5 linked regions of the Canis lupus familiaris genome follow. The main gene of each other region encodes a partner of the protein of the gene in region 3 in a complex. Links are inferred from orthologs where the notes say so. Each region holds a gene or a part of one and is shown on either strand. Other genes may lie near its edges.

Evidence for each region.
Region 1: the proteins of DNAJB13 (region 3) and NME5 are in contact, whole or in part, in a cryo-EM structure (PDB 8WZB), measured with the Mus musculus proteins. The link is inferred for Canis lupus familiaris from reciprocal best matches to the Homo sapiens genes DNAJB13 and NME5. Residues at the interface, in NP_705755.2 of Mus musculus: Thr156, Lys157, Lys158, Thr181, Ile182, Asp183, Arg185, Trp188, Arg189, Gly191, Thr192, Arg193, Ile194, Thr195, Phe196, Glu197, Pro281; in NP_542368.2 of Mus musculus: Glu52, His53, Asn56, Met193, Lys199, Pro200, Lys201, Leu202, Cys203, His204, Phe205.
Region 2: DNAJB13 (region 3) and ROPN1L share a complex: the UniProt entries of both Homo sapiens proteins name them as parts of the axonemal radial spoke complex. The link is inferred for Canis lupus familiaris from reciprocal best matches to the Homo sapiens genes DNAJB13 and ROPN1L.
Region 4: DNAJB13 (region 3) and LRRC23 share a complex: the UniProt entries of both Homo sapiens proteins name them as parts of the axonemal radial spoke complex. The link is inferred for Canis lupus familiaris from reciprocal best matches to the Homo sapiens genes DNAJB13 and LRRC23.
Region 5: DNAJB13 (region 3) and DYDC1 share a complex: the UniProt entries of both Homo sapiens proteins name them as parts of the axonemal radial spoke complex. The link is inferred for Canis lupus familiaris from reciprocal best matches to the Homo sapiens genes DNAJB13 and DYDC1.

The regions. Positions count from the first base shown.
Region 1 is NC_049232.1:25,836,527-25,841,294, forward strand, and holds the start of NME5 (nucleoside diphosphate kinase homolog 5), read right to left. Parts: upstream 3,265-4,768; 5' UTR 3,128-3,264; intron 3,112-3,127; exon of another isoform or gene 3,044-3,111; intron 2,579-3,043; 5' UTR 2,533-2,578; coding exon 2,404-2,532; intron 1-2,403. Other genes in the region: BRD8 (bromodomain-containing protein 8), read right to left, coding at 4,133-4,183, 4,752-4,768. UniProt on the Homo sapiens protein: Functions as part of axonemal radial spoke complexes that play an important part in the motility of sperm and cilia. Does not seem to have nucleoside diphosphate kinase (NDPK) activity.
Region 2 is NC_049255.1:4,035,501-4,040,181, reverse strand, and holds the start of ROPN1L (ropporin-1-like protein), read left to right. Parts: upstream 1-1,348; 5' UTR 1,349-1,508; intron 1,509-1,659; 5' UTR 1,660-1,682; coding exon 1,683-1,813; intron 1,814-4,681. UniProt on the Homo sapiens protein: Functions as part of axonemal radial spoke complexes that play an important part in the motility of sperm and cilia. Important for male fertility.
Region 3 is NC_049242.1:24,440,721-24,445,371, forward strand, and holds the start of DNAJB13 (dnaJ homolog subfamily B member 13), read right to left. Parts: upstream 3,062-4,651; 5' UTR 2,975-3,061; coding exon 2,907-2,974; exon of another isoform or gene 2,808-2,906; intron 571-2,807; exon of another isoform or gene 1-570. UniProt on the Homo sapiens protein: Functions as part of axonemal radial spoke complexes that play an important part in the motility of sperm and cilia.
Region 4 is NC_049248.1:7,958,598-7,963,333, reverse strand, and holds the start of LRRC23 (leucine-rich repeat-containing protein 23), read right to left. Parts: upstream 3,265-4,736; 5' UTR 3,128-3,264; intron 3,118-3,127; exon of another isoform or gene 2,905-3,117; intron 2,401-2,904; 5' UTR 2,380-2,400; coding exon 2,257-2,379; intron 2,164-2,256; coding exon 2,054-2,163; intron 1,658-2,053; coding exon 1,404-1,657; intron 833-1,403; coding exon 702-832; intron 45-701; coding exon 1-44. UniProt on the Homo sapiens protein: Essential for sperm motility and male fertility. Plays an important role in the proper assembly of the third radial spoke (RS3) head and the bridge structure between RS2 and RS3 in the sperm flagella.
Region 5 is NC_049225.1:30,227,422-30,231,610, forward strand, and holds part of DYDC1 (DPY30 domain-containing protein 1), read right to left. Parts: intron 3,219-4,189; 5' UTR 3,210-3,218; coding exon 3,063-3,209; intron 2,585-3,062; coding exon 2,483-2,584; intron 1-2,482. UniProt on the Homo sapiens protein: Functions as part of axonemal radial spoke complexes that play an important part in the motility of sperm and cilia. Plays a crucial role during acrosome biogenesis.

The sequences.
Region 1 (4,768 bases), on a different chromosome or scaffold from region 3:
TATCTGACTTTCTGCTCAGCAACAAGTCTGCTTCTCCCTCTCTCTCTCCCTCTATGATCTCTCCGGCTCTCATTCTCTCTCAAAAAAATAAATACAATCCTTTTTAAAAGATAAAAACAAAGCACTGACAAAATAGACAATATGACACTTTACAAATATAAGAGAATTAAAAACCTGGAATTTCAAATAGGAATAATACAAAAAAGGAATATTCAAAATATTCCATTCTATTTGATAATCTTCATTTTTAAAAAGATTTTATTTATTTATTTATTTATTTATTTATTTATTTATTTATTTATTTATTCAAAAGAGACACAGAAAGAGAGGCAGAGACACAGGTAGAGGGAGGAGAAGCAGGCTCCATGCAAGGAGCCCAATGCGGGACTCAATCCTGGAAATCCGGGATCATGCCCTGAGCCAAAGGTAGACGCTCAACCACTGAGCCACCCTGGCGCCCCAAGATTTTATTTTTTATGAGAGATACAGAGAGACAGAGACAGAGGCAGAGACGTAGGCAGAGGGAGAAGCAGGCTCCTGCGAGGACCTTGGGATCACAACCTGAGCCAACATTAGAGGCTCAACCACTGAACCACCCAGGCATCCCTGTTTGATCATCTTTAACACTCTTCTTACATACATTTTCAAACTTTTACCAATGCAGGATAAGGCTTAAAACATTAAATGGTTTTGTTTTTGTTTTTGTTTTTTTAAGATTTTATTTATTTGAGAGGGGGAGAAAGAGAGAGACAGGAGCAGGAGGAGGAGCAGAGGGAGAATCAGGCTCCTCGCTGAGCAGGGAGCAGGAAGCAGGATGAGGGACTTGGTCCCAAGACCTGGAGATCACAACCTAACCAAAAGGCAGATGTTTAACCGACTGAGCCACTCAGGTGTCCCGAAACATTAAATGTTTGTTGTTGTTTTTTTTAAGATTTTATTTATTTATTTATTATTTATTTATTTATTTATTTTTATTTATTTATGATAGTCACAGAGAGAGAGAGAGAGAGGCAGAGACACAGGCAGAGGGAGAAGCAGGCTCCATGCACCGGGAGCCCGATGTGGGATTCGATCCCGGGTCTCCAGGATCGTGCCCTGGGCCAAAGGCAGACGCTAAACCACTGCGCCACCCAGGGATCCCATTTTATTGATTTATTCATGAGAGACAGAGAGAGGCAGAGACACAAGCAGAGGGAGAAGCAGGCTCCCTGTAGGGTGCCCAATGCAGGACTCGATCCTGGGACCTTGTGATCACAACCTGAGTCAAAGGTAGATGCTCAACCACTAAGCCACCCAGTTGCCCCCATTTTGAAAAAAAATTCCGGGTGCCTGGATGGCTCAGGGATTGAGCGCACCTGCCTTTGGCTCAGGTTGTGATCCCGGGGTCCTGGGATCGAGTCCCACATCGGGCTTTACACAGGGAGCCTGCTTCTCTCTCTGTCTATGTCTCTGCCTCCCTGTCTGTGTCTCTCATGAATTAATAAATAAAATCTTTAAAAAAATAATTGAAAAAAATTCCAACAATCTAAAAGCCCATCAATTGAGGAACAAGTAAATAACTTGTGGTTCATTCACACAGGGGAATATTACACAGAAGTTAGGAAGAATGAGAGATTCAGATATAATAACTGAGCAACTTTGTAAAAGGGGTCAAGGGAAGAAGACTGTCCTATTTTATAGGGGGAAATGTTTGTAAATGCTTACAAAAATCCTGCAAAGAAAAAAAATATCCTGCAAAGACAGAAGGCACTAAGTAGTTGCCTTTTCTGGAGATTGAGACTTGGGTGAGAGAGGAGAGGAGGAAAAGGAATTTTAATTCTCATTTTAGGGATCCCTGGGTGGCGCAGCGGTTTAGCACCTGCCTTTGGCCCAGCGCGATCCTGGAGACCCGGGATCGAATCCCACGTCGGGCTCCCAGTGCATGGAGCCTGCTTCTCCCTCTGCCTATGTCTCTGCCTCTCTCTCTCTGTGTGTGTGACTATCATAAATAAATAAAAATTAAAAAAATTAATTCTCGCTTTATATCCTTTTGAAAAATGAAAGAATTTATTTAATTTTTTAAAGATTTTATTTATTTGATAGAGAGTACAAACAGGGGGAGTGGCAGAGGGAGAGGGAGAAACAGGCTCCCCACTGAAGTGGGGAGTCCTATGCAGATCCTGGGACCCTAGGATCAAGACCTGGGCAGAAGGTAGATGCTTAACCAACTGAGCCACCCAGGTACCCCCTGAAAAAAACTTTAAAACTAACACATATAACTTTTATACTGAAAAATTAAAATAAATCTAAGTTTAGTACTAAGCACTAAAGCACTGAATAGGTTAACATATTTAAACTTTTTCTTTTTTTTTTTTTTAAGGAGCAAAGAGAATAAAAACCATCATCATCATGCCCAGAAGTTACCTGAACAATGGTGAATCCAGATCTGAGAATAATATCCTGTATCTCCTCCTCTTTGTCAGCAATATCTGGTTTGATAATAGCCAAAGTTTTTTCTACATATATCTGAGGTGGGGGCATTGATAGCTCCATTCTGCCTTTCCAGGGTACAATTTAGGAGATTCTCCACAGGTATCAACTGCAATGACATGCATCACCCCCACCCCAAATTTAATGTAATTGTGATTATAAACAGCATTATTAGGCGCTTGATTTTATTAGCTTATAAAGTTAGAAACTGCCGAATCTTTTTCGATAAGCAGTCTCAATAATACAATGGGGGGGGGGGGTGCGCCTCGCCTCGATGGCCCAGTCCAGGGAGCAGGTGCCTCCATCTCTGGATTGGGGTTCGAGCCCCAGGATGGGTGTAGAGATTACATAAATAAATAAACAAAAAGTACAATTTCTACTCTATGTCTAATTCATGCCCTTGGTTTTCCTAAACACTTTCGTTGAGGTACAGAGGCCAGGGGCAACCCGAAGGCCTGCGTGCGGCGCAGACTCTCGCAACTGCTGGTGAACTGTCTACCCTGCCCCCGCCCCCCCCCCACCCCCGCCCTTCTCCCGCCCCTCCCAGAAGGTCTTGCACTGGATCTGGCCTGACTGGAAAGCAGCATTCCCAGGTCCTAGTGCCAATTTGAAGTGCACTCGCAGACCCCACGGGAGCAGCCCTTCCGTACGCACTCACCCTGCCGCCCACTCCTGCTGGGCCACCGCAGCCTGTTGCTAAGAGACCCAAAGCAAAGTTCAGGGACGGTGGCTCCAGAGGGCCAATCCCAGCACAGCGCGTCACAGACTTTGGGTTCCTTTATAATGAAGAGAAGGGGCCACTACAAGTCTCTTTATTCCCCCCTTGCCAATCTTAGAGTACTAGACGTTTTCCAACATTGTCCTCATCTTATTTATTTTTTATTTTTATTTTTATTTTTTATTTATGATAGTCACACACACACACACACACACACACACACACACACACACACACACACACAGAGAGAGGGAGAGAGAGAGAGAGGCAGAGACACAGGCAGAGGGAGAAGCAGGCTCCATGCACCGGGAGCCCGACGTGGGATTTGATCCCGGGTCTCCAGGATCGTGCCCTGGGCCAAAGGCAGGCGCTAAACCAATGCGCCACCCAGGGATCCCTGTCCTCATCTTATTTAACCCTCATAGCCATTTCAAGGACACTTTAATTACATCAACCTTATAAATAATGAGACAAATCATAAGCACTCTCCCCTCATCCCACACCATCCCGTTCCAGACATTTTATGTAAGAACCCATGTCAAATACCTTACAGTCATTCTACCAGATGCTGTCCCATTTATTCCCTGATTCTGTAATCATTAAAAAAAGCAATCTTCAACTTGTGAAATAACATTTATTTATAGAGCAGTTATAAGAGTTGTTTAATTACATCTAAATCAAGCCTATGAAACAGAAAAAGTGAGCAACATTTACTGCATCACCCCAAATCTCAGCTTTCCCCATTTTTTAAATTGTCTACAGGCACCTTTGACTCCTTGGTTGTGACTTTAATGCATTTTTCTTACTAGAAAAGACAACAAAAAACTGGTAAACAAGTATTGGGATCTTCTCTGAGTCTCATATAAGAGGTCTCAATTCCAGAAAAGGTCAGGATAGCAGCTCTTGGTTAAGAGGTTTTCCATCATCTACAGGGTTGGCTGGTTCTCATTCCAAGCTATTTAAGTCTCTTCTTTTGTCTAACCAAATACTCAGCACCTACAGAGTCAAGGCAGATAGCAAGCTATGAATCTATGGAAAACTATAGAGATTAGAATGCAGTTTTCTTTTTTCTGCAGCAAGGTTTGACTATGCTTTTTTTCTTTCAAAGTATGATCCTGCCCAGAAAAGAAACCCTGAAAGGTCATCTTCTGGCTACAATGTCTTATTATTGTAGACGGGACAGTATGAATCTATATCAACAGGTAGCAACCAAAAAATGGATAGTGATTCCAGCCTCTGGTTCGCATGTTTAGCTCTCTGACTTGAGGCTCCGGAAGCAGGAGCTCCTATTACTTAGCTATCCCCAGCTCCCTTGAGACTTCTTTACAGCTGCCTGTCTTCCTATACTACTTTACTTCATTATCTATGAAAGCTAGTCCTACAGAGGCTTAGGGTTTTCCAAAGCAATAGGTACAATGTCATTATCTATGGGCCCTTAACCATGTCTAAACATAAATTCTGAGAACATAAAGTCACTTTAACACTACTCTTATTCTCATAGACTTTCTAAAATCAGATTCCAGAGACTGTACTCCTTTTTCTTACAGCTCTCTACATACAGTACCTGAATCTGCTCCAAGA
Region 2 (4,681 bases), on a different chromosome or scaffold from region 3:
ATGTGGTAAAAACAAAACCATGTGCCATTCTCCAGAGGTAACCACAGTCAGTAGTTTAGTGTTTGCTCCCAGAATGTGCAACAGGTAAATGTATATTCACAGACTCTGCTCTGTTAGGTGCTTTTTTTCACTTCATATTTCGTGAACATCTTTTTATGTCAATACCTAAGTAGCTATCTTATTTTAAAATTCTGGCTGAATTATTTTCTGTTGTGTGGCTAAGATTATGATTTAAAATGTTCTGAAAGAATTAGTTTACCAATTTTATTATGTGCTTTACTAAACATTTTGGTCCATATTACTTTATATACTCAGGCTAGTATTTCTATAGGATAAATCTATAGATTGCTAAGTCATCAAAATACAGTGCCAAATGGCCCCCAGAATGTACTAATTAACACCTCTGTCATCATTGTAGGAGATTCCTTGTTTTTCCATTTTGCATCAACACTAAATAGTGACTTTTCAGTTTTTGCTAGTGTGCCGTTAATTTGGAAATGTGTCCCCTGGTGGGGGAGTAATGGATGGGGGTGATACCTCTAGGGCAGGAGGAAGGGTTTGTCATTGACGACTCCTGGAAATAGCCGGGTCTAGGTCTCCATCTTTCTGGCTAGAAGTGAGCAGGGGAAGGCAGGTGGGTAGCCACAGCTCTGATTCACACCTTGTATGCTGCCCTGGTCAGGATTCACCAGAACCGAGTAGCTCTCCTATCCTTTGACCCAAAGTTCATGTATCCGAAGACAGTTTATGTCCTTCTAGACCCAATCAGCCTCAATCATTGTCTTGAGCTGAAAATCGCCCCGTCTAAACTCTTGAAGTGGCTCTTAAATCGGAAGGCCTGGGCAGTGAGAACAGCGCGAGTGAAGGTCTGAAGGCCTGGACGGCTTGGACAGGGTGTTAGACGGTGGCTTGGCGCGGACCGGATGGCAGACGGGGGCTCGGTTTGCACGCGGTGCAGATGGTTTGGACGTGGGGCAGGCGGGCATCGTGCAGCCTGAGCGAGACCCGGGAGGACGGCGAGGGGCAGGTTCCTTCGCGCGGGGGCGCTCGTGCTCCCTGCGCCGACCGGCCCCGCGGCCGTGACGCCTTCCTTCCGAGGACGACCGAGCCCCCTAGTCCTTAAGCCTCACGTAGCCAGAGCAAGGGAAAGGGTGTGTGTGTGGGGGGGGGGGGGGGGGCTTGTGAATTCTCCCTTCACATCGCAATGGGAAATCGATCAAATGATCTAAGTGAAACGTTCAGCGAAAGGCAAAAAAAGGCCAGAGCCAGACTGCGCAAGCGCAGTGCCTGCCCCGAGCCGAGCCGAGCCGAGCCGAGCCGAGCCGAGCCGAGCCGAGCCGAGCCGAGCCGAGCCGAGCCGAGCCGAGCCGAGGGGCGGGGCCCGCGGGCGTCCCGGTTGCCTGGATACTCCGCGAAACAATCGCTGCCGCGGGCGCTTTCGGGCGGTCGCGGGGAGGGGCAGTTGGTCCTCACTTTCCGCGGAGCCCCAGGAGCCCGAGGAGGAGCGGGTGAGGCCCCCGGCCGGCCGCCCGGACCTCGCGAAGCCGGCCTCCTGGCCGCCCCCGGTCCCCCCGCCGGGCTCCAAATCCGGGGGAGGCAGGGCAGCCCGAGGCCCACGGGTTCGCCCTCCTCCACGCAGCCCATCTTGATTCTTCCCAGCCTGGTCCGGTCCGCGGAGAGCGATGCCGCTGCCCGACACCATGTTCTGCGCGCAGCAGATCCAGATTCCGCCGGAGCTGCCGGACATCCTGAAGCAGTTCACCAAGGCTGCGATCCGCACCCAGCCCGCCGATGTGCTGCAGTGGTCCGCGGGGTAAGCGCCTCGGTGGCCGCCGGCCGGTCTGCGAGCCGGGTCGTGCCCCTGGCCCTCCCGCCTGCAGCCCCGGTGCGACGCGCGGGTGGTGTCTGCACCTGAGGACCTGTCTAGGAACCATCCCGGTTGATTGAGTTTCCCAGCAGTCGCTGCCAAATGCTCCCTTTCCTGCAAAGGCATGACAGCTCCACTGTTGGAGACTGGTACTTGCTCAGACCGAAACTTAAAAAGCGATTGCATTCGGTAAAAAGTTTCTGCATTGTGTGATAAAATCAAACTACTCCACTCCCTTTATTTTATTTGTGAAATGGTTTTTTACAAGGTTTCTTGTAAGGCTAAGCTGCTCATTCTGGAGAATCCTCCCACCCTGTTGAGTTTTTTTTTTTTTTTTTTTAAGATTTTTCAAAAATTCATTTATTCGGGGGCGGTGGGGAGGCGCGGAGACACAGGCAGAGGGAGAAGCAAGCTCATGCAGGGAGCCCGACGTGGGACTCCAGGATCATGCCCTGGGCTGCAGGCGGCGCTAAGTTTCTTAGATCAAAGCCCCCGAGGTCATGTTGGGGTAATTATCCCAATGCTGCAATAAGGTTAAACTTTGCTCAACTTAGTTCCCAGAAGGCAAATAAGCCTTCACCCTTTCTTGCAGCATTGTAGCTATTTTCAGGAATGGTCATAGTTTCAAAGTTACAAAGTTAACAGGCCTTAGAACCTTTAAAGTAAACCCATTAGGTTTCGAAAGGAAAGCTCTTTGCCTCTCTTCAGTAGACAGACTTAGAAACTCAATTTTATGATTACAAGAACCAGTATAAAATTAAATGTTTTGGGGCACCTGAGTAGTTCGGTAATTAAGCGTGTTCTTTTGGCAGGTCATGATCTCAGGGGCCTGGGATCCAGCCCCAGGTGGTGCTGCTTGTTCAGCAGAATCTGCTTCTCCCTTTGTCTCTGCTCCTCCCCCTGTTCATGCGCGCTCTCTCTCTCTCTCTCTCTCTCAAATAAGTAAAATCTTTTTTAAAAATTAAATGTTTTAGTAACTAGCATGTCAGATTTCACTGACCTCTAAATGGTATAAATAACCAAGGTGAGTTAGTTTCCTTTGGCCACTATAACAAATAACCACAGATTTTGATGGATTAAACAACAGGCATGTATTGTCTTATTGTTCTGGAGGCTGAAAGTCCAAAATCCGTTTCACCTAGCTAAAGTCAAATTGTCAGAGGCCCTACGGAGAATCGAATCGCTTGCTTGCTTGCCTTTTCCCGCTTTTGGAGCTGCATTCTTTGTGTTCTTTGGCTCATGGCCCCTTCCTCCATCTTTAAAGCTGATGCATTTAGGACCCATCAAGATAATTCAGGATAATTTTTCTACCTCAGAATCCTCTCTCACATCTATACAGTTCCTGTCACCATGCAAAATAAGATACACAGCTTCCAGGATTAGGGGCCCTTAGTGAACCCACCACAAGGCTACTTATTAATCCAGTGCTTCACCTTGTGACAGGCACTTCTGTCAGTTGCTTCTGCAAGATTCTCTCAAGGGTCTTGCCCAAAAAAATCATGGCCTCTGGTTTTAACCGTCATTCAAGCATCAATGAAAGGACGCACAAGCGTCCTTTGTACTTGTACTTAACAGAACATTTGTTCTGTACAATAACATTTATTATTTGTACTTAACAGAACATTCCGAGATTAAATCATTTTCTTTCTTGGGACTTTAAATTATTTTAATTTAAGCTTCACTTTAATTTAAAAGGCATAATTGAGAACTTTCTGGATGTTCCATGCAACTAATTTTCTCTCAACAATTTTGGAGCTTAGGAGGAAAAGCAGGCGTCATTCACTAAGTGGTGCGTGTGAAATGGGCTTGTATGAATCCCAGCTGTCGCAGCATCTGTTGGGGTGAGAGGTTGCTCAGAAGAGGGCGAATTGCTCTTTGAGGTTAAGACAAGGCTAGGGCATTCCGGGGAGAGGAACAGCATACGAACAAAGGAGAGGTGACAAGAAGAAAAACAAAAAAGCTAAAAACAAAGCAGAGAACCAGGAATCACAGGTGGGTACCTGCTGGGGAAGATGCACAAGCAAGGCTTTCAGGTGCACAGGTCCATCAGCCTGGCCCCCAGCTTGATGCGGCCACTAGGGGACCGTCTGTGTTCTGTCACCAGTGCCCCACGCAGGGTGCCCCTCTCAGGGTGCCCCGCGCAGGGTGCCCCGCACAGGGTGACGGGGGGGGGGGGGTGTGTGTGTGTGTGAGAATTGGTCCAGTGCTAGAGGCTGCTTTCTGCTCGCATGTGCCTCCAGGGACTAGCACCGGGAGGCTTGACCCTCTTGCAGACTCTCAGCCTTGGCCCTGTTGAGCCCATGACAGGATAATGGCTGGGGAGTGTGGGGGTATGCGGGTGTCTGGGCAGTAGGACCCTGAGCAGCATCCTGACCTATACCCGCTAGAGGCCAGTAGCACCACCCACCCCCTCTTGTGACAACCACAGAGGTCTCCAGATTTTGCCCCCGGGGCAGTGGGTGGGAGGACTGTTGGGAACCACTGCTCTAGAGGGTGTGGAGCTGGGTGATGGGTTCGGTCGGTGAGGAGGAGGAGGAATAAAGTCCCGGAGTAGGTGAAAACCCTAGTGAGGAACAATATGGCAAAACTGAGCCCCCGTGCCTCCCCCCTCCCCCAGCCCCTCCATCACCTTAGATCTTCCTGTCCGCCTTTGCTCCCACATTGCCGCCCTTGTTTTGACTCCCCCTCCAACTGTTAAGTCCACTAAATATGGGTGGAGGGAGTAAAGGGGATGCATGTAACATTTCATTGAGCCCAGCAAATACCCATGTAGCTACAGCTGTCTTTGTTACGCGATCAGATGTTTCTAATCAC
Region 3 (4,651 bases):
TCTGACCCTGTGTACCCTCTGCTGGGTCAGAGTGCAGCTCCTCTGCCCTGCTCACGCCTTCTATGCTAGTGACCCCTTCTGCTCCTTTTCTTCTCACTCCACATACCGTCTGTGCACAGGCTCATCTATCCCAAGGCTTTGAGTACCACTCACTCGCTGACCACTCCCAAATCTCTGAAACTAGGACACTGAGCTCCAGACTTCTGTATCCAGCTGCCATCTTGGTATCTCCTCTCCAATATCCCACAGGCCCCACAAACTCAACGAGCCCAAAACCAAACACATTTTCATTCTCTAATATACTTTGTATACCTTCATTGACTTCAAGACAATTGTCATGACCTCCTTGAGGCTTTGAAACCAGCCCTTCTCAGTTACAAAGGTCAAAATCAGTTATGGAGAGAACAAGTAAAAGTAAGTAGGTTTGAGAAGAGTTCCATTTTCATATAAATTTGAGTGGTTGTAATATTTGCCCTGCAGTGCCACCACTCTGTTTCCCTGAGTGGGCAAGATGGAGTGGAGTCACAGCTTGGATGCAGCAGCCTAGACCGAATGAGAGATACTGAGAAGGTAAATAGCTGGGCAATTAGGAATCATCACAGTGCTTTTCTTTATTTTATACATTCAGCATTTGAGGTGGGGCATCAAAATCTAGGTGCTCTCGTATGGGACTCATCTCTTAAAGTTGTTATAAGAGAGAAGGGGGAAAATGGGGCAGTCTGGGTGGCTCAGCCGTTTAGCGCCGCTTCGCCCCAGGTGTGATCCTGGAGACCTGGGATCGAGTCCCATGGCCTGCTTCTCCCTCTGCCTGTGTCTCTGCCTCTCTCTCTCCCTGTGTCTCTTATGAATAAATAAATAAAATCTTTAAAAAAAAGAGAGAGAGAGAAGGGTTAAGAACTATTGTATGAAATACATGTGGTTCTTTTAATCACTCTTTATATGACATGATTTTTTGCTACAAATGATTGCTGGGCATTTCATGTTCTTTATCTCATATAATTCCATGTCAAGGGCAGCGGTTTAGCGCCACCTGCAGCCCAGGGCGTGATCCTGGAGATCAGGGATCGAGTCCCACGTCAGGCTCCCTGCATGGAGCCTGCTTCTCCCTCTGCCTGTGTCTCTGCCTCTCTCTCTCTCTCTCTCTCTGTGTCTCTATGAATAAATGAATAAAATATTTTTTTAAAATTCCATGTCAATACCACAACAACCCTTATAATTAATTATTATTTTTCTTAAAGAATTTATTTATTTGAGGGAGAGAGAGAGATTGCGCAAGACAGCACAAGCAGAAGGGATGGCAGGAGAGGGGGAAACAGGGAGCAATCCCAGGACCCTGGGATCATGACCTGAGCCAACCCACTGAACCAACCAGGTGCCCCAAACCTTATAATTATTATTTTAGAGATGGGAAAGCAGAGGCTCAGAGTGGTTAATTTGTCCATGTCACACAGCTAGCAGGTAGGAGAAACTAGATTCAGGCCTGGGTGTTTCCAGCGTTTAAGCTGGGCATGTATTTCTGCATTCCAACTCCTGTGACCTCTCCCTAAATGGCTTCCACTGGCCAAGGAGATGCTCTGAGCAGTGGGTGACATCACACAATATCCTGAATTGTTCTGTAATTGTCTCATGAGTTTGTGTCTTTTTTCTCCAGCTACACTGTAGATTCTCTCCCCTTACCCCACATAAATGCCCTACAGGACCTGACTCACAGTAGGCATGGTGTCTGGATACTGGTTCTGCCATTTACTAGGCACATGGCCTTGGGATAACAGTACCTACTTCTCAGAGTTGTGAGGATTAAATGAAATAATGATGGAAGGTTCTCAGAACAGTATCTGCACATTCAAAAACTGTATCACTACCCAACTTAATTAACTATATTATCCCAGATTCCTCCCTTTTTCTTTACCCTTCAATGACCCAATTAATAGCTAAATCCATTCTCTCTCCTCTCTCCAGCCCAGTATCCTTTTTCAAGCTTCATCTTCTGCCTTGGTTATCATGACAGACTCTGAAAGAGTCTGTCTCCTAAAATAAGTTTCCATAGCATTCTGTTCTTCCCTTTCTGTAACACTCATCACACTTATGACTTATTCAACATCTGTATTCACCACCAAAATTAAGCTGCGTATCTGATTCATGATTATATCTCCAGCTGCTACCACTGCACCTAACCATAGGGTAGGCACTCAATAAATATTCATCAAAAAACTTTTTTTTTTTTTTGAGAGAGAGAGAGAGAGCACACGTGAGAGCAAGCACAGGGAGTGGGGGTGGGAGGGTGGGGGGATGGTGCAGAGGTAGTGGGAAGGAACCGAGGGAAAGTGAGAATCCCAAGCAGTCTCAATGTGGAGCCCAAAGCAGGGATCAATCTCACAACCCCGAGATCATGACCCAAGTCGAAATCAAGTCAGATGCTTAACCAACTGAGCCATCCAGGTGCCCCCCCAAACCACATTTTTTTCATAAAAATGTGCTGACTCCTGTCCTTGACTTTCTTGGAAATGGACCACAAAGTCCCCATGACCTGATGAAAGTATTGAGAAATGCAGTTCAACATCAAAAACTCATTATAATTGCCAGAATAAAATCTGAAACACATCCATCTGGCCAGGTCACTTTCCTGTTCCTTTGGTTCTCCATAATCAGGATAAAGTTCAAATGTCTCCTTTGTTCGATTTTTATTCCTAGGAAAACCAGCATATCCAGGAGGGGAGACAGAGTAGAGGGGATAAAGGATGATGGATTGAGAACTCTGACCTAGTCCAAACCCAGGCTATAAATATGCAAGAAAAAACAAGGTTTACCTTGCCTGCCTTAAGCTGTGCAAGAAAGCTCAGTTTGGAAGAGATAAAGGTGGGGCTTTCTCCACACACCCCGAAAGCCTCACTCCAACCCCAACTTACGCCTTCTTGATCTCGGCATCCTCTGAATTTCGAGTGATCTGGAGCACGGAGTAATAATCCTGGCCCATGGCTGGTTGGCACTCAGTCCTTGGGTAATCCTGACACCAGCAGGGCTGTTAGTCTGCATTCTTTGGTTGCTCTGACAACCGCACAGGGGCCCTCTGGGAGTGGTAGTCCTTCCTGCCTAAGCAAACCTCCTGCTCAGTTTTGCTTCACAGAAAAGCCAATAGAAGAATTGGAAGAACAGGGGCTGATTCTGTGAACCTGATAAAGGTCACTCAACTCAGAATTTTTTTTTTTTTTTTTTTTTTAGATTTTATTTATTCATGAGAGACAGAGAGAGAGAGAGAGAGAGGCAAAGACATAGGCAGAGGGAGAAGCAGGCTCCATGCAGGGAGCCTGATGTGAGACTCAATCCCAAGACTCCAGGATCACGATCTGAGCCAAAAGCAGATGCTTAATCACTCAGCCACCCAGGTGTTCCTCAACTCAGAATTTTAAAGGAAAGTAGCTTTTTTCTTTTTTTTTTAGATTTTATTTATTTATTCATGAGAGACACACAGAGAGAGGCAGAGACATAAGCAGACACAGAAGCAGGCTCCTGATGTGAGACTCGATCCCAAGACCCTGGGATCATGACCTGAGCCAAAGGCAGATGCTCAACCACTGAGCCACCCAGGTACCCCAGGAAAGTAGCAATTAGTTTTATTTTTTTTATTTTTTTAAATATTTTATTTATTTATTCATGAGAGATACAGAGAGAGAGAGAGAGGCAGAGACACAGGCAGAGGGAGAAGCAGGCTCCATGCAAGGAGCCCAATGTGGGCCTCGATCCCGGGTCTCCAGAATCACACCCTGGGCTGCAGGCGGCGCTAAACCGCTGCACCACCAGGGCTGCCCAGCAATTAGTTTTAATGAAAAGTTATCAGAACAGGGGCGCCTGGGTGGGGCAGTCAGTTGAAGGTCCAACTCCTGGTTTTGGCTCAGGTCATGATCTCAAGGTTGTGACAGGGAACCCTGCTGGAGCTCCAGGTTCAGTGCGAAGTCAGAGTGGGCTTGAGACTCTTTCTCCTTCTCGCTCTGCCCCTCCACCTCCTCCAACACTTTTTCTCTCTCATAAATAAGTAAAATCTTTTTTTTAAAAAAAAGTTTCAGAACAAATGTATTTAGTTGATTTTTTAAAAATAGGTTTTACATTGTAGAATAATTTTAGATTTTCAGAAAAGTTAGGAACACAGTTCAAAATTCCCATATAAAAAAAATTCCCATATACCCCATACCTAGTTTCCTGTATGATTTTTTTCTGTATTTTTTTAAGTTTCCTGTATTATGATGGCTTACATGAATACGATATATTTGTCACAATAATATTGATACACCAGGGTTTTTTTGAATGCTCAATTTAGTGACATATTTTTAATTTTAATTCCAGTATAGTTAACATATTAACATGTTAACATACAGTGTTAAATTACTTTCAAGTGTACGATACAGTGATTCAACAATTCCATGCATCACCCAGGGCTCAGCACCGAGCACTTCTTAATCCCCATCGCCTGTTTCACCCATCCCCCCACCCACCTCCCCTCTGGTGACCATCAGTTTGTTCTCTATAGTTAAGAGTCTGTTTCTTGGTTTTCCTCTCATTTCTCCCCCTTCCCACTCCCCCACCATGTTCGTTTGTTTTGTTTCTTAAATTCCACCTATGAGTGAAATCACACTGTATTTATCTTTCTCTGATTGGC
Region 4 (4,736 bases), on a different chromosome or scaffold from region 3:
CTTAGGTTCTCCAAACCCTCCACCTTCTTCAGCATGTTCTGGGCCTAGCCCCCAGGATACAGTCCATGGATTGGGAAAAGGTGGTAGGGACAGGGAAGAGAAGTCAAAGATGCAGGAAACTTAAGAGTGGAGATGGAAGGGTGAAGGAGGGGAGTGAAGATGGGTAGAGATGGGTGTAAACAGTAAAGAAGCCTAGGAGAAGCTGCTGGTCCAGAGAAAGGCAGCAGTAACCCCCTGCTGCTCATCCCATCAAAGCCACCTCTGATTCAGGAGGAGATGCTTCAAACCACCCGGATGCCCAAGAACCCTCACTGCTCCACTGAGGAGGAATGCCTTCAGCACCATCCTAGAATGAAGAAGCTCACAAGTCAAAAAGACTTAACATTTCAGTGGCTCCCTTGGCTTGATATCTGTACCTGGGTTATGGCAAATTATGCTACAACCTGTGTCAAAACAAATTGTCTCTATTCTCATGTATTATGCATTAGCAGCCCTGCTAGGTAGTAAGGATCTTGTCTGTTTTAATTTTGCATCCCCACAGCATCTGGCACCAAGTGAGTGCTCAATAAATGATAATGATAAATGAACCAAATGATCGTGATGATGATGGTGTTAGTAGAGCCTACTAGAAGCCAGGCATCCTGGCCCCCAGAACACCACCCTTTTCCCTACACCAACCACCCTCTAACCCAGCGAGCTACCAGGTAGAGGTTCTTCAGCTTAGGAAGATTGATTCCCAGAGTGCTCTCCAGCTGGTTCCCCCGAAGCTCCAGTGTGTGCAGGCTGAGCAGCTTCTGGGGGTCCAGACCTGTCACCCTGCGGATGCGGTTCCCTAAGGAGCAGGAGAGTGTTAAGAACTCAGAGGACCGCTTCAAATGTTCAGCAGCAGAGCCTGAATGTTGGGAGCCTCTGCATCATCCTCTCCCTCCCATATGAGGTGGCTATGAGGAGGGACAGCTCCAGACTTAACACCTCTGGGGCCCTGGGGCACTCCTCCTCCCTCAAATCTTGGCTCAGATGTCAGCTTTTCAATGACCCTTGTCCTAACCAACCTGTTTGCAGTTGCTACCTGTGCCTATCTCTAGTCCCTTTATCCTAATCTATTTTCCACCACACATATCTCCTCTTAACATACTCTATAGATTTACTTAGTTATTACGTTTACTGATAGTTGTCTGTCTCCCCCTGACTAGAATGGAAGCTGTATGAGACTAGGGATTTTGTTTGTTCACTGCTACATCTCCAGCACATAGAAATGTCATAATGGAGCATAAGGACTGTCTGAATGAATGGATGGATGGATGGAAATTGCTGTGTGGCACAGCCAAAGACCACACTGCCCACTTCTGTTGGCCCCAAGCTAGGAAGGAGAGAACCTTGTGTAGCCCAACTTAAGGACCTACCTTTGAGATCCAGGCTGCCCAGACGAGGGTGAGAGATGCCCTCAGTGTCAGTGATCTGGTTATGGGCAAAACTGGCAACCTGCAGGTAGGGCAGTTCATTCAGCTGGGCACTCCGCAGATTGTTGCCATCAGCCTTGAGCCAGAGCAGGTGGGTAAGGTAATTGAGTGGCGACAAGTCTGTCAGGTGGTTCTCAGAAACATCCACATAGCGCAGATGGATGTAGGAACGCAACAAGTAGATGTCTGTCAGGTCCCTAAGAGATGAAGGAGGCCAGAGTTAGGGTTAAGTACCCAGTAAGGAGCAGAGGTGCTAAAGCAGAGGACAATGTGGAGATGGAGAAGAATGGGTGACTGATGGGAGTGGTGAGGGAGGAGGAGAGAAGATAGGTGGGTTCTTAACAGTGATCAGGGGCATATGTCTGCAAAGAGCCGAGAACTGACATTCTGATGGACAATTGAAGGAGTCCAGTAGGAATTCCCCAGGCTAGCTCTAATGTGGGGAGTCACAGGGCTCTGGAAAAGCAAATTCTATCCTTCCCTTCCACTGGCCAGAGTAAGAGAGATCCAAACTCCCAGCAGCAACACCCAGGAATGAGGGTGAGAAAGGAGATTGGGCCCTACGACGGCAGCCTGGTCCTCCATAAGCGCACCTCTCTTTAACCTCCAGCTTGACATAAGCATGAGCCAGTCCATTGCCTGTCTTACAGAGCAAAGAAAGCCCTTCCTTCAACATGTCCTCTGTGAGTGGCGTGGGCATCCACTGCAAGAGGAAGTGGAATCAGGCATCCCCTTCCAGCCCAACCCCATCCCTTAGCCTTAGGACCCCACCAATTCCAGGATTTCATGCTCTCACTTCCTCTGAGTACTCCTCTCCCTCCTTCTTGTAGTCCTCCCACTCCTCTGTTTCCTTCTCATCATCTTCCTTTTCCAGATCATCCTGATCTGGCTCGAAATCTTCCAGGTCTTCATCTGACATCTTTCTTCTCTGCTGACGACTCTGGAGTAACAGATCAAGCTCAGTGCCCCTCCCAAGAAAGAATGTCTGTCTCCTCGGCTCTCTGATCCCTTGCCTCCATTGACGGGATACCCTTCCCATCCATCATCCCTGACCTCCTCCCAACTGCGTTTCTCTCCTTATCCCTGCGAACACCTCATTTTGACTCCCAGCCTCCACTTCTGATGTCCCACCAAGGACTTCTGTCCCTTCAGTACGCCTTTCCAGGCCTTTCCAGCCCTCCAGCGGGGCTCCAACTGTCTCATTGTAGCTCCGCCTCCCTGCTTCTTGGCCTTCTCCTCCCCAGTTCTTCCCACCTCCTCCTTAAGCCACGTTCCCCTACCAACCTCCTACAACCCTCTCCTCCTTTCTATTCCTAACTCATGCTCCATTCATTTCTTTTTTACTTTCCCACCCTAACTAGCCCCATTTCCCTGTCCCCTCTGGGGCACCAGACTGACGCAGTCTCCAACCCTCCCACCCAATCCTTCGCAGAGGGGCGCAGACCCTGGCTCTGCTCCGCTAAAGGTGAGGTTCCGGAGAGGGTCTTGGCTCTGACTGGGAAAGGTTGTTTTGGAAGAGGGGAAACGCTCAAGGAGGCGTTGTGTACTGCTGTTATGGCAACGAGGGGGCGGGACACTTGGCTACTTCTTTGGGGCAACCGCTGAGAGGAGGGCCTCGAGGGGCCCGCGACAAACTGAACGGAAAATCCGCCCCAGAGCAAGCGGACCTTTAGTCGCCGGGTAAAGAGGCCAAATTCCCAATCCGATTACAAGCGTTAATTGGCAGGTAGCAGGAAGCAGTGGGTGGGGCTTGGAACTGAGAAGTGGGAGGGGAGATGGGTGGGGCTATGCGAAGTCACTCCAGACGTTAAAGGGACCGCACATCCTCAAAACAAAAGTATTGTGAATTCCAAAGAAATATGCTCTGAAGCTAAAGGGGGAAGAGGAGCAAGAAATCCCAAGGTACGTGGTCTGGTTTCTACTCCCACCCCAGCCTTGCACTCAGTTGATCTTTGGAAGGTGGCTTGGTGGAGTGGAAGGAGCCCAGGCCAATGTACCTTAAGACCTGGGTTGAAGTCTTGGCAGATCTGCAGTTCACTAGCAGCTTACCTAAGACTACTTTCTCATCTGTAAAATAGGCTTAGCTACACCAACTGAGGGGTATGAGTGCGAGCGTAATCTATGCTAGTACATTGTAGATTGCTAAACCCAATCTACAATGGGTTGGGTTGTAGATTGCTTCTCACTTTTCCTCATAACTTGGACTAGTTTGATACAAACTTCTTGGGGGTGCTAATAAGAGAGAAAATCCAACAAGTGCCCAATGAAAAACTCTTCATCCAACGTTGTTATATAGACAACAAGACCTGATAGAGCCATGCCCAGGCACTCAGGTCTGTGTGACTTGTTGAAAGAGATGAGAAAAAAGTTAAGATTCAACAAATATTTCCAGAGCATTTGTGTCAGATACTGTATGAGATGCTTTCACAAGTGATTTAATTTTTACATCAATCCTGTGAGATAAATACTTGAAAGAAGAGGAAACTAAAGCTCAGGGCAGTTAATATTTATGACACAATTCCTGCCGGGAGAAAGGAAGACAGTACCAATCTTTTTTAAAAAATATTTTATTTATTTATTCATGAGAGACACAGAGAGAGAGAGAGAGAGAGAGAGAGAGAGAGGCAGAGACACAGGCAGAGGGAGAAGCAGGCTCCACGCAGGGAGCCTGATGTGGGACTTGATCTGGGGTCTCCAGGATCACACCCTGGGCTGAAGGCGGCGCTAAACTGCTGAGCCACCAGGGCTGCCCCAAGACAGTACCAATCTTATGGAATCTAATATAAATAAAACAATTAGGCAACAAGGTAAGAAATCATATGATTGTTAAATTGTGTGTTACAGATATTATAAAACACGCAAAGTGATCTAATGGAAGATGTGGTGGGCTGGAAATCAGGACATGTTATCTCCTGCCCTGTCCAGCTTGGATAATACAGACAAATCTGTTTGAGGGACGCCTGGGTGGCCCAGTTGGTTAAGCGTCTGTCTTCTGCTCAGGTCGTGATCTTGGGGTCTTGGGATGGAGCCCACAGCAGGGACCCTGCCTCTCCATCTCCCCTGCCTGCCTGCTCCCCATGCTGTGCTCTCTCTCTGTGTGTCAAATAAATAAATAAAATGTTTTTTAAAAAAATCTATTCACTTGATATCATGGAACTAGTAGGGGCTGTAAAGTCAGACACACCAGGTTCAAAACCCACTCTACCATTTAATAGCTATGTGTTCCTCAGCAGGTTATATGATTTTACTGAGGTTTAATTTTCACATTTGTGAAAT
Region 5 (4,189 bases), on a different chromosome or scaffold from region 3:
ATTTCAGATACTGGCAGAGGAAGTAAAATAACTAATCTCTCAACAACAATGCAAACTACAGTTGTTAAATACCAACCACCTTGGCCAACAGAACCAGTTTCTTAACGTTTTCAAGAAAACTTCAAAACTCAATTCCTTTCTTCACATAGGAGTAAAACCATTAGAAAGATATTCAAATTGATCAATCGATCAAACAAACAAATAAAAAGGTTTTACCTCCTAAGTGAGCTCTTAGGTTGAAAATGGCAGCCAATGCACTTTCCTGTTCACAGGGCCCAGGGCTTACTGGAGAGTGCCAAAAATTTCAAGGAATTTCAACCCAGTGGCACTGACTATGAGAACAACATGGAGGTGACCGGAGTCTTGACACTCAGGCTCACTTGACTCAACGGTGACTTCAGAGCGTCTCTCTGTTTCTGTGCATCTCGGCCTCACTCTCTCTTAAGCTCTTCTCCTGTAGACCTTCTCTGCACAGGCTCCCTTTCCTTCTCCCGTCTATTTCTGGCCACCAAGCTGTTTCTTTAACGGTCATAAAATCTTCTGCAGAACGTTCTTGTTATCTTCCAATCCCAACACAATGCTCAGGGTTCAGTGTACAGTGGATCCCTTCACACCCATCAATAGGATACAGCTAGAGAAGTGCTTGATTTCTAGGATTGCCAAATTTTCGCTAAGTAAGGTAAGTAGAAGAGCCAAAGAAAGTTAAGTACCCCCACATTTGTGATGGAATTGTCTTGAGGAAGATGTTCTCCTCAGTCTGAGAGACAGGGGACAGATACTAGTTGTAGAAGCTGAAAGAGGAAGAGCAGATTCTCACTCAAAGTTGGGGCAATTCTGCAGCAGAATGTTTGCCCATTTGGATGATTGTTTGATATCTGGCTCCACGCTCTGCAACTTCCACATAAGAATAAACCAGGGATTCCTGGGTGGCGCAGCGGTTTGGCGCCTGCCTTTGGCCCAGGGCGCGATCCTGGAGACCCAGGATCGAATCCCACGTCCGGCTCCCGGTGCATGGAGCCTGCTTCTCCCTCTGCCTATGTCTCTGCCTCTCTCTCTCTCTCTCTCTCTCTCTCTCTCTCTATCATAAATTAAAAAAAATAAAAAAAGATTAAAAAAAAATAAGAATAAACCAAACGATTGAAAAATGAAGATTCAGGAGCAGTGAAGTTTTCAATAGCCTTATCTGTCTCGGGTGCCTAGAATGTTCTATCCCAGTAGCAGAGGTGACAGGTTAGGCAGAGAAGCTATTCGCCACGTCTATAGTTTCCTTTCTATTCACACACCCAAACAACAGGCTTCTAGACTGGAGTCGAGACCCTGGAGTTAAGGACCGTGTGGCAGAACAATAGGAATAACTTAGATCTAGTTCAGAAGCTGTCCATAAATTAAATTAGTCCAAAAGCCACTCTGGAACCTTCCCTGTCTAGTTTACAATCCATGACTCATCCCTGAAACCATTCTCTTCCCAGCACCTTCAGCTCCCCAACGTGCTACCCTAAACCCACGTCAGTCACAGGCGCTGCCCCTTGCACATCATCACTCAGGCCTTCAGGCCTAAGTGAAGAAAAATTACAGGATCATAAAACCAAACTAGCTGGCAACATTATAAATGCCTGGTCTCGGGGCGCCTGGGGTGCTCAGCAGTTGAGCGTCTGCCTTTGACTCAGGGCATGATCCCGGGGTCCTGGGATCAAGTCCCACATCGGGCTCCCCTGCAGGGATCCTGCTTCTCCCTCTGCCTGTGTCTCTGCCTCTCTCTGCGTGTCTCATGAGTAAATAAATAAATAATCTTTAAGAAAATATATGCCTGGTTTCTAACTCTGACAGGGTACTCAATGCTACCAGGTAATGCTAAGTTTCCCAGTCAATGCTACCATTCTACAAAGCTACTATTTCAAAACCATCACCACTCTCCCCGCACCTGCCATTTTATCGCCTCATTCTTGGAAGATGATCATCATCCCTACTTCATAAAGAAGAAAGAGTCATGAAGAAACTGTTTTAAACTTCGTGCCATAAAACCTATACACCCACATGTACCTAGACCATCCTCTCCCTCTTAACATCAACCCCCTCCTGCCCCTCTGCTCTTAAAAAAACCCAACCTCCTTCTCTGAAAAATCCCCTTGAAAGCATCACCTAAACTCACCATCTTCCCTGTTACATCCCACCCCCCACACACCATGGTCTTGAATGAGCACTTTGCAGTCTTGCTCTCACTCAACCAACAGTAGGCATGGCTGACCCCTTGGGTCTCTCCCCTTGACCTTCATGAGAGCACACTCCCTGGGTTTTCCTCCCACTCCACTGCTGCTGCTTCTCCGGCAAAGAAGACACAGATACAGAAACACAGGAACACGAAGATAGAAGAGAGCCACTGCTAACTAATTAGAGATGGGGAGGTTTTCAGTATTTGGGTTGCACCACACTGAGGCTGACAAAGCTCACTCCAGTGTCCCCCAAACTCCCATGCATGTCTCACCTGCTGAAACAGGAGTTCTTCGGCTTTGAGCCTCTCCATCATCTCCTGCTCAATCTCAGCTAGTTCTCTTTCCCGCTCCAAGTTAGCCATTTCCTTCTGTCTCTAGCAGGGTTTTAAAAGCAATTACCACATGACTAATTTGAGGCAGAATAATTTGTAAAAACAATCTTGAAAGAGTGTTAATCACCAATGACAGGGAAAAGGGGAAGCAAATTTTATTCAACCATTTAGAAAAGGTGCAATAATTTGGGGAGATATGTGTTTTATTTGAACAAAGAGCATAAAATTACAATTATACATTGGGTATGATCATAATTATGTAAAAAACAAAATCTACAAGTGCATAGGAAATGTACAGAAAAAAGACTAGAAGAAAATACCTAAAAATCTAAAAAGAAATCTTCTCTGGGGTATTTTTTATTCTTTCTGTTTTTTTTTTCATATTGTCCAAGTTTCTTCTATAATAAACATACTTACTATTTTTATAACAGAAATAACATTGAACTTTTTATTAAAAAAGTAGACAAACTGGACCAGTTATCTTATTCTTCTAATTTTCTAAAAGAAGATCCCTACTTACCAGTTGCTCCATGGTCACATTTTCCTTATATTTATAAATCCACAATGCTAAATATTCTATTGGATCCACTGGGCGAATTCTTGCCACTTCTGCAAGACCTTGAGTTAGACATGTCCCAAGGTGCTTTTGCAGATATGTCGACTCCATTTCTCCCCCCTGATTTCAAAAAGGTAAATGTTTTTGCATTAATGCAGGAAATGTTCAGTAAGTCACACTAAAAGCAGAGTCCAGTGAGGCCAACGGAGCACTGCATCCTGTCATGGGCACCTCCCACCAAGGATGACACTAGCAAGCTGGCTTGGTGAAACACCTAACAATTTCCAAAAGGACTCCACCGATGTCACAACAATTACCACTACTAAGAAGCACTTTCAAAATCCTGTAGGATCTCAAGGTTGAGATTCAGAAATGAACAACAAACATAACCCCCAACCAGCAAAGGGAAGAAAGTAACAAAGGTTAGAGCAGAAATAAATGATAAAGGAACTAAACAAAAAAAGATGAAAAAAAAAGTCAGAAAAAAGGGTACCGTCATGACTGTGAGACGGCCATGTGCCAAGCAGGGCATGTCTCACTCAATCCTCACAACAGGGGCCAAAAATCAGTGTCATCAGCCCACTGTGCGGGTGAGGAAGCCCAGGCGTAAGGGGCGTAGGTCAACGTGGTGAACATGGGATTCGTACCCAACTCTTGATTCCAGAGTCATAATCTTTGTGACCCAGATGTTCCTCCCAAGCCACGAGGGTAGTTTTAGAAAATCATAATACCCATAATATCATAATACTCTACCTCAAAAATAAAAACAAACAAACAAAAAACCCCAAAAGTCCATGAATCTCCAAGGACAAAAAAGTAAACAAAAAAATTCAACCTTCGAGGAATAGCATATGAAGCTCCTCACACTTTGGCCCCAATTTCTTTTTTTTCTTTTAAGACTTTATTTATTTATTCATGATAGACACACAGAGAGAGAGAGGCAGAGACACAGGCAGAGGGAGAGGCAGGCTCATGCCAGGAGCCCGACGTGGGACTCGATCCCAGGACTCCAGGATCACACCCTAGGCCAAAGGCAGGTGCTAAACCGCTGAGCCACCCAGGGATCCCCTGGCCCCAATTTCTTCTCAGGC